Linked DNA regions of Tribolium castaneum. The protein of the gene in region 2 purifies or fractionates together with the protein of the main gene of each other region. This does not show direct contact. Links are inferred from orthologs where the notes say so. Each region holds a gene or a part of one and is shown on either strand. Other genes may lie near its edges.

Region 1 (5,173 bases), on a different chromosome or scaffold from region 2:
TCAGGTTTGGCAAAAAACTCTGCCTAATGGTTTAAACCATGGTCTAAACATTATTGTCCTGCATTAACTTGCAGGTGTTGGGGCTCTATACGTGAGGCGACGGCCTAGAGTTCGAGTTGAACCGGTGCAGAGTGGCGGGGGCCAAGAACGGGGCATCAGAAGTGGCACCGTTCCAACGCCCTTAGCTGTAGGAATAGGTGAAGCTTGCGCTATTAGTGAGAGGGAGATGCCGTACGACCACGCTTGGATGGAAAAGTTGAGCAAGAGGTTAATTGATACGATTTTCGGCGCTTTGAGTCACGTGGTTAGGAATGGAGACCCTGTCGAGACGTATCCGGGGTGCGTCAACCTGTCTTTTGCTTTTGTTGAAGGTATTACACTTATAAATTTAGTCATTTGTCTGATGAGTACCTGTAGGGGAATCACTCCTGATGGCATTGAAGGACGTGGCGCTGTCTAGCGGATCAGCTTGCACTTCAGCCTCTTTGGAGCCGTCATATGTTTTGAGAGCCATAGGGACTGATGAAGACCTGGCTCACAGTTCAATCAGGTTTTTCGTACATTTGTTTTGATTTAATCTAACTTTTTTGCAGGTTTGGGTTTGGTCGCTTCACCACAATGGAAGAGGTGGACTACACTGCAAAAAAGTGCATCCAACACGTGACCCGATTGCGCGAAATGAGCCCCTTGTGGGAAATGATTCAGGAAGGGATTGACCTAAAGACCATCAAATGGTCCCAGCATTGAACATACTCATTGTAATAATTTCTCAACAATAAACTTTATTTTATCACAACAATAAATCTCATAGTACAAAATTACAATCTTCGTAAAAATTATTATTAGCATATGCTGCGTCTTGTCTTACGTGAAAATTTACAACGTAATTGGCGTTTGTTCGTTGCACCGAAATGGCAAAAGGGTCCGTGGGGTGGAAAGTGAACGCCACCAGTCTTCGAGCTGAGGGGTACATCAGCCTTGTGCCGCCGGCAAAAATCTGGAATTTTAAAAACCCCGAGTCGCGGCCGTAGAACCTGAAAAAAACAAGTCCGGGCCTGTGTAAAACACTTCAGCTTAGCCAACATCATGAAAAATTGAAATGTATTTAATACCAAAACCCTAAGACCAAGCAAAATTATGTAAAACAGCTAAGTTTTCTTTTGCAATTTACGAAACATTGCCCAAAAACAATCAAAACAGCTCAAAATAAATCTTCACGAACATGGGTTGGCAGCATTGTCACAAATGTCAATGTGTGTCAGTTGTTCAAAAATTTTTCCGTGTGGTGAAAACAGTGTTAAACTAGTTAAAACGCGTTTTTTGCCTCAATCGGGCGTAGAAAGTGTTGATTCAACGTGAGAAGTGGGTAAGTAATAGTTTTGTTACCTTATCGGATACTCCCCGCATGTCTTTGGCCGTTCCATCACCGACACCCATTTGTCGTCATAACTGAACAACGACAAGTCCAGATAAGGCGAACTGCTGTAAGATTGGGCACTTATTGGTAACTGAGCTAGGAGTCTTTTAGTGGCTTCCGTTTCGCCACCGTATTTTGCACTGACTATGGTTTGTTTGAACCTGAAACCTCAGTTGTGACAAGGGCCCTTCAAACCCGCACTTGGTACCTTTGTTGCAAAATCCTGGCGTAAATGTTATTAGAGGGGCTACAAGTAAACTGCGTCTCGCAGTTAACGCACGCGTTCCTAAACGAATCACAGAAATTCTCAAACAAGTGCAACAAATCAGTCGATGTGTTTTCATAAATTGCCAAAATTTTGCTCTCCTTCATGTTGTAAACTATGAAGAAGGACGGCTGGGTGTTCGCGTCGGTGCACTTTAACGTGACGACGTCCTCGCTCGCGTACTTAATCAACAAGTGGTTCTCATCCAAAAGCTGCATTTTCCACAGTTTCAGTGCGTTGTAGTTGCTGAAATGGTGGAAAAATTTGCGGATTTCTAGGGGACTGTTGTCTCTTTTACTTATGGTTACTGCTCTTTTGTACAAAAACGTTAGCAATCGGTGCTTTAGCGAGTTTATGCTCACGTCCCTGAAGGCCCTCTCGTTCGAATACGCCAAGTCGTAGAAATACGAGTCATCCTCGAAGCAAAATCGGCCGATTTTTCGGACATTTACGAACATTCCGTCCAGGATTTGGAAAATGTGGATCACTTGGTGTTGGACTGAGAGCACAGCGAGTATGTCCTTGTATAAATAGAGGCCTTGGTTATGCGACAGGAAAATTTTGTCGACTTTAAATTGCCTCGAATCACACAGTTTTCCTTGATGGAGGTCAACCAAATGAAGAGTGTAATTTTCCAAAGGGGAACGCGGGTTAGGCGTGACCGATTCGTTATTTGTATAAATTTCATAAAAGTGTGGCCGTATCTCTTCCGGTATGAACGCCGCTGAACCGATTATCACGTATCTGCCGTCATCACTGAAAAGGCTACACTCGCGATTAAGTTCCTCAGAGCCTTGGGTCACATGTACCACATATTTTAACTAAAAGCATTAAAAGTAAAAACAAATTTTGTTCCGTGATTAGCGTACCTTGAAAATCCTATCAAAAATTTTACTACTAATCTCTGACCGTTTTTCGGCATCACAGTTCTCAGTTTTGTTGAATAGGTCGGCCGCCGCTGCCGGCCCTCTGTAAGTGTAGACTTCCAGCGACGTTTGATCCGACGAAAACGCAATGAAATATTTACCATCGGGACTGAATTTTCGTAAAAAACAAGGGGGCTTTTCCACGTTTATCACAGTAAAATTGGGGAAAATACATTGGTAGAATTGGCGAGCGGTGTGGAAGTGAGTCCCCGGTTTTCGGTACGAAAACGTCTCGCGATTTTTCAGACGTATTACGATGTTTTGAGGGGCGATCTTCTTACGTTTGAATACATATTCGGTGCTGCAAATCGGCGATTTTTCCATTATTTTGATATGAGGATTTCTAGGTTAGCTCATTTTGATATGTCAAAGCGCGTCACGTGACAATTTTTTAGAATAACAGCTGCAGCAGTGAAATCAGCAATAAATAATAATAATAGTAATAATACAGTCACAATTGAATAAAAATAATTCTGTAACTTTTTAATTAAGTTGTATTTTGCCCACAAATGAATAAGAATTTTGCAATATAAATATCTGTTGGCAGCATTGCTTGATGAAGCTCTTGGACCACTGCAGTTTTTAAAATTTTCATTTTTTAATCGTGATTAAATAAGCGGGTTTTCATCAAATATAATGTTCCAATAGTTTAGGTAGAGCCATAAAAATATTTTCAAGCCTCTTTGTGGCATTACTGTCAATTTTTTTTTGTTTTATGATTTTTTTTGAATCGATTTTTTCCAAGTCAAGTGCAATAATTAAAGTTGTGAGGCTAATTGAACGTTAAAAATTACCAAACAAGCAAAAAATTTTAAAATTTTTGCTTGGAGTAAAGTCCAGCATGATTTGCATTATGCGTATGAAAACATTCGTTTCTGATGGCTTTGCGAGGCATCAGGGTGCTAGAGTTGGCCGGATTGGCCCCAGCCCCCTTTTGTGGTATGGTCTTGTCCGATTTTGGGGCTTCTGTTTTACGTATAGACAAGGTACCCCAATTTGTAATGTTTCAAAGCTTAATTCGAGATCCTCTAGGTTGGGGCTAACATAGACCTTGACTGTTTGGGTAATGGCAAAAAATCAATAGCCTTGAACTTGAAGGACCCAAACGGAGCGAAGATTGTGAGAAAATTGGCCAAAACCAGCGATGTCCTGATTGAGCCGTTTAGAAAAGGAGTAATGGAGAGGTTGGGGTTAGGTCCTGAGACCCTCATGAAGGAAAACCCGCGCTTGATTTATGCCCGGTTGACGGGCTGGGGCCAGACCGGGTTGTATAGCGCGAGGGCGGGTCACGATATAAACTACTTGGCGTTATCAGGGCTATTATCACTTTTTGGGCGAAAGGGCCAAAAACCAATTTTTCCTGTGAATCTGGCCGCTGATTTCGGAGGCGGGGGGCTGATGTGCGCTTTGGGGATTCTCTTAGCGCTTCACGAGCGTCATTCGTCCGGTTTGGGGCAAGTTATAGATAGCAGTATGGTCGAAGGGACGGCCTACTTAGGGAGCTGGTTGTTTCGTTCTCAGAAACTCCCGATTTGGGGGAACGAACGTGGAAGTAATCAGCTGGACTCGGGTAGTCATTTTTATGAGGTTTATGAGACAAAAGACGGGAAATTTGTCTCAGTGGGGGCACTAGAACCACAATTCTACGAAAAATTGTTACAAGGTTTGGGTTTGAGTTACGATGAAGCGCCACAATTTGACGATTACGAAAAGTTGAAAGTTTTATTCGCGCGAAAATTTAAAGAGAAGACGCAGGAAGAGTGGTGCCGGATTTTTGACAAAGCTGATGCTTGTGTAGCCCCAGTTTTAACGCTTGAGGAGGCTCCAGAGCACCCACATAATAAAGAAAGGGGGTGTTTTGCGAGGATGGGGGATGATATAATCCCCAAACCTGCCCCGGTTTTAAGTAGAACGCCTGGAGAAGCGAGTGGGTTGAAAGCGGCCCCCAACTGTGGGGAACATACGTGGGATGTTTTGAAAGGGTTAGGGTACAGTGACAATAATATCAATGATTTAGTTGCCAAAGGCACGGTTGAATGTTTTAATAAGTCCAAATATTAATTTTTTCAATAAATACTGTTTCGTTTTTGAGCAATTTCTTCAATTATTTTTTCCATTTCCGACAATGTTGGACCAAATAATTCCGTCACATCACAGTGTTGGCAAAATAATTCCAGTACTGTTTTTACAGATAGTAGGTCGAAAAAGGCGTGATTTAAACCCAAAATGTGTCCGTGAAATAGCTCCTCTTTTTGTTTTTTGTGCACTTGCGCCAGTCTCTTCAAGGCGATAAATTTAAGAAAGTCGTAAAATTTGTAAAAATCCATTCCAAATGAAGCTTTGAGCATTACTTGACAGTGCTGTAAAAAACCTTCCATATCGCAACAATCTTCTATTTCTTTTTTCACACATTTTAAATTATATTCGATCGTCTCCCACATTTTCAATATGTTACATCCATTAACCCAATTATGATTTACGGAAATTGTATCCTCTAAATTCCACACTTGATGGTACCAACCCGTGGGTACAAAAACAGCCTCTCCAGCATTTTGGATTAGTTCG
Region 2 (5,052 bases):
AACACCAATAAATTTCGGGACTAAGCCACCATGCCTTCAATTAACCAACAGACTCGAACATTTTTTAGTCACAAATTTTACTGCAGGCACGGTACTCCCTATTTATACAGGCAGTACTTAATGAAAATATTTACTATTATTCCAAATACATATTATACGTATCTACAATTCCTGATAATTAAAATTAATTAAGTCGCTGCAAAGAATAAAATTTCTCATTTTAAAAGAAAAGTTGCTTAAATATTTTTTTGTACAAAAAATCCGTAAAAAAAAACTAAAAATTTCAATAACGAAGGATATAAAAATTATGAAAAAATTCACATGCATAGAGATAAAAATAAGGGATTTAATAGCGGACGCTGATCTCTGTGCGACTATTAAGTTTCGAGATAGTAACGCTATAAAAACAGTAAATATTTTCGCCCCCTGTACGTAAAAAATAAAATAGTCCCCCATCCAAGTTTTAGTTATTAAACCGATTTTTCCTGTGCACATCCTGTAACGAAATTTACAATCCGGGATATGCCAAGAACAGTTGATTGTCCTAATGCCGTGCTAGACTATCACCTAAACCAGTTCCAAAATATTAATAATCCCTTGACTGTTCGCCGCAACGACAACATTCGAATTCTGCTTCCAGCAAACAGCCGAAACGAATTCGTTCATATCATCCTCCCGCCTTTCCTGATCCAAGACCCCTTGAATCGCTTCAAACTTATAACTAAACAACTTTTTACTCAAGCCTTTGTAATAAATATACATGGCGTTATTCTCCGAGCCGCAGGCGACATAATCGCCGTCCGTCGCCAATCCGATAAAATTCTTCTCGTTAATGTGTCCGACAAACGACCGAAGGCAATACGGAGTATTAACATTCCACAATTTAAGCTGCGAGTCGGTCGACGCCGACACGATATCCTCACTATTGAGAAACTTGACGTAACTCACTGCCTTCTTGTGGCCCTTGAACACGGCCACCGCCTCCTTCATGTTCCTCAAGTCGTAGTAATGAACACAATGATCAGCGCTACCGAACGCTAAGTGACAAGAACTCCTCGGATTGAACTTAACACAACAAACGTTCGCTTTGGCTTCGAGAGTCGCGATCGAGTGCTCACCGTTGAGCGAGTATAACTTAACGCGCGCATCGTCCGAACCCGAGGCGATCAACCGAGTATCAACCTCATTGAAATCAACACTCCAACAGCGCTTCTCATGCTCTTGGTAGGTCTTGGTGCGCTGACCGGTCGAAGCGTCCCAAATCGTCACAGTCCCTTCGTAATCACTACTCGCCAGAATACTCTTATGGTACGTGTTCCAACTCACGCACGAGATTTTCGACTTGGAGAGCATTTCAATACAGGGATAGTGTATATCGACCGTATCCTTAATCACAGCACCGTAATCGAAAACTTTGATCTTTTTCGTCACTCCAGCAATCGCCAGGAACTCGTTATCCTTATCGAATTCGATACTCGAGACTATGGTCGAATTGTTGAACAAATCACTCGAGTAGTTCAACGTTGCGAGGACCCGGAGCGAGTTATAGCGCGAGAATTTGATCAAATTCTCCCGGAATTCGTCGAGACCCGTATTAATAGTAGTCTTAGTCTTATCGACCCCGTCTTTGCCGAAGAACAAGTCTTTGGAGCGTGAGGTGAAGTAACAGTCGACGAAGTCGTCAAAGTGGGCGTGCATCCGCCGCCGGCGCATCGCCAGCGAGGTCGAACCTAGCCGAAGCGGGGCGTCGGGATTCGTCGTGTCATCTTTGCGACCAGTCGAACTACCTATAGTATCAATCAAATCGATCATTTCCTTCTTCATCGCACTGACATCGGCATTGTCCGCCGCCGACGCCACCGTCCGCTCCACATCCTCCAAAGTCGGGCACTTGCTATGCACCTCCTTCAACTTATTGTAAACCTCCTCAATGTCATGCTCAATAATCGCAATCTCCTTGATAATCTGCGCCTGCCGCTCCTTCTTTTGCTTAAGCAAGTGCTTCAAAAACTCCAAAAGGAGGCGGTTTTGCGCGGCACACGACTCCGCCTCCAGGAGTTGCTTCCGTTGCGTCAGAACCTCCAACATTACGTTAACGTCCGGCAACGTTAAATTCTGCGATTCCGTTGCCACAAAATCCCGTAAACCGTCGGCCGACGTCCCGAACTCCCCCGAACTGTCGCGGTTCAAGCCCAAAGCCTCGAAGTTGTTCAAGCGAGTCTTGTGCTTTCTGATCAGTTCGTTGAGGAGGAAGTTCGGGAAGATCATGTCTTCGCCGGTGACCGGGGCGTTGCATTTGGGGCAGCGTTTGAGGGCTTCGATCGATTTTAAAATGCAGGTGTAGCAGAACGTGTGGCCACATTTCGTAATGTAAGCCTCCTCGATCAGGTTGAAGCAGACGGGGCAGGAAAAATCGGTCGTTTTCTCCTCGAAGGAGCCGCCCCCGGCTGTCGAACGCTGACGCTTTGGGGTGCGAATCGACGAGCGATTTGTCGGCACGTTCGAACTACTGTGCGAAGAGGCGGAACTACTACGACCGTCGCGGCTTGAAGCCATTTTGACGACTTAGAGGTAGTTAAGAGAAAAACATCGACCTGAAACAAGAACTGGAGTAGTATTGAGGAGCGACAATTCGGACGGTTCCTGACCCGAAAACCTGAAACGGGGACAGAAATCGCCTAAATTGTTACTTGAAAACACTCAATACTACTGGATTGGTTAAACTGACGGGATCAAGTTTCAGGTCAGGTTTTTCAATTTGCACGAAAAGGGCCAAGACAATAAAATAATCGCTACGTGTATAAAAAACGATAAAGCTTTCTATTTTGTGCCAAGTTTCATTAATTACTCCCATGTTTTCACATTATGTAATGTTTAATTCCGCTTGGACTTGTCCTCTAATGCAATAAAAACGCTATGACGCTACTTACAGTTTAATTTGTTCTAAAAGCCTGCCTTGACACTTCTGGTTGTACTTTTCAGCAGCGGGGGTTAGCTCCAACCCTTCACATTCATCATCACTGTACACGCCCAAGACTAAGCCTTTCTAAAACGAAACGAACGCAAATCACTCAATTGCATTGCTTCTAATGATAAAACCTACTTTTTCCGGGCAGGCTGAAGAGCATGGTCTGAAAAAGTATCTGCTGGAGACGGATAACCTGAGTAACTTTTTACACGTTAGAGATAAAGCCATACTTGATGGTGACACAAAATATGGGTGGTTTGAGTGTGGGGTGATTTGGTTGAGGGTGGTTTAAAAATCGTATACGTTTCGTCTTTCGATTATGTGGAACTTTAGTGTTGAAAATCCAAAAATCAACAAATCACAAAATTGATTTTTGACAGGTCTGCCGGGCCGACAGGAGTGACAAACGCCAGGAGGCGCTCCTAACGCACAAAAAATGTTTCTGGAAAGGTTGGATATTCGTAGATAACGCCTTATCTTTAGGTCTATTTTGTATGCAATCGACAGTATTTAAATAAAATGCTCAGAAAAAGTGCGAGCCTTTAATTTGCGCTGATAACTGTATTAGATAAAAAAATTATTGGGGAGTGGAATCACCTTAGTTTTTGTGACTTGGTGGAAAAAAAATGGCGGCAAATTCAAAATACATTTTTTATTCAGTTAATTAAGACACAATTTGTGTTGTCCATGTTTTCCGCTAAAGGGTTTTGTAACTTAAAAAGCGGTACCATCGAGGCGTACTAATGCCATATCACCTGTATTTCTGCTATTTTCTTTATTTTGTTTATTGAGGTTATGTGAGACTTTCTTTGACCAAGTGCTCCACTTTTAGATTAAGTTTTTTGTACCTTACATGTGAAATATTTTAGTAAAATGAGCACTCGAGAGTTGGCCCGGTGAGAAAAATTATAATTAAATTAAAGATAAGCTTATTATTGCAATTTCAGAAAACTGGGTGCTTTAGAAGTAATTTATTCAACCGCTAAGGCCACGACTCCCCAGCCTTTTGACTACCTCCTCGTCCTTGACTTTGAAGCCACTTGCTGGAGTAACGGCGACCCGAGAAAAAATCCGGCCGAAATAATCGAATTTCCGGTCGTTCTTTACGACGTAAAAAACGCTAAAATAATCGCAGAGTTCCAGCAATACGTAATGCCAGTCGAGAATCCCAAATTGAGCGACTTTTGTACCGAGCTCACAGGTAAAAAACATTGTGCCCCAAGCCCCACTGATGATTTTTTACAGGAATACAGCAACACCAAGTTGATAACGGGGTCCCCCTTCAAGCTTGTTTGCTTCTGTTTTCGCGTTGGGTTGCCGAAAAAATGAGATTATATGACATGGATTTCCCAAACGGCGAAAGTCAGGCGGCAAAAACGTGCGCTTTTGCCACTTGGTCGGACTGGGATTTGGGGACCTGTCTCCGAAAGGAGTGCATCCGGAAGAATATTAGAATTGAGAAAATGTACCGCAAATGGATTGATATTAGAGCACTGTTCAAGCGCTACATCAGACGCCCGTTTATTGGACTTTCTGGCGCTTTGGCCGAACTAGGACTGACTTTTGAAGGGACTGAACATTGCGGATTGCATGATGCCAGGAATACGGCAAGACTTGTCGGGAAAATGGTCGATAAGGGGGTCGTACTCCAATTAACACGACGCTAATTTTTTATTTTCATTGTATTATTACAAATAAATATATTCTTGTTATTACATAAATTGATTCATTGGGTCTTCCTCTCGCCTCCTCTTCAAATAGTAAGCTTCAATCTCCTCCTCTGAGGGCTTCTTCACTTCGTACATGCTGTTGTAAGGACGCTTCCTCTCGTCTATTGACAGTAAACTCTCGGCTCGCTTTTGGTGCTCTTCTTCCGCTTTGAGGGCCTCTTTTAACTTGTCCTTCTCTTCTTTTTGTTTCAGTTTTTTCTTCTCTTTGTTTTTCTTTCTCTTGTTCTTCTTTTTCTTGTTTTTCTCGGACTTGTGTTTCGCTTCTGTGTCGGAACTCGACTCGGATGATGAACTCTCACTTGATTCTTTTTCTTCCTCTGGTTCAGGTACAACTTCTGGTGGTTTGTTGGCCTC

Evidence for each region.
Region 1: the proteins of E3 ubiquitin-protein ligase COP1 (region 2) and abo purify together in Homo sapiens (affinity purification with western blotting; 11 studies listed by BioGRID and IntAct, counting the BioPlex papers as one, with this or other methods). This does not show direct contact. The link is inferred for Tribolium castaneum from reciprocal best matches to the Homo sapiens genes COP1 and DET1.

Annotation. Positions count from the first base shown.
Region 1 is NC_087398.1:5,176,661-5,181,833, reverse strand, and holds abo (DET1 homolog), read right to left. Parts: upstream 3,129-5,173; 5' UTR 2,933-3,128; coding exon 2,552-2,932; intron 2,504-2,551; coding exon 1,626-2,503; intron 1,579-1,625; coding exon 1,387-1,578; intron 1,035-1,386; coding exon 806-1,034; 3' UTR 763-805; downstream 1-762. Other genes in the region: Nfs1 (cysteine desulfurase, mitochondrial), read left to right, coding at 75-371, 418-550, 594-747; Amacr (alpha-methylacyl-CoA racemase), read left to right, coding at 3,487-3,594, 3,641-4,669; 2-oxoglutarate and iron-dependent oxygenase JMJD4, read right to left, coding at 4,675-5,173. UniProt on the Homo sapiens protein: Component of the E3 ubiquitin ligase DCX DET1-COP1 complex, which is required for ubiquitination and subsequent degradation of target proteins. The complex is involved in JUN ubiquitination and degradation.
Region 2 is NC_087397.1:2,836,427-2,841,478, reverse strand, and holds the start of E3 ubiquitin-protein ligase COP1, read right to left. Parts: upstream 3,104-5,052; intron 3,047-3,103; coding exon of another isoform or gene 2,931-3,046; intron 2,595-2,930; 5' UTR 2,557-2,594; coding exon 568-2,556; 3' UTR 1-567. Other genes in the region: pre-mRNA-splicing factor Slu7, read right to left, coding at 4,681-5,052. UniProt on the Homo sapiens protein: E3 ubiquitin-protein ligase that mediates ubiquitination and subsequent proteasomal degradation of target proteins.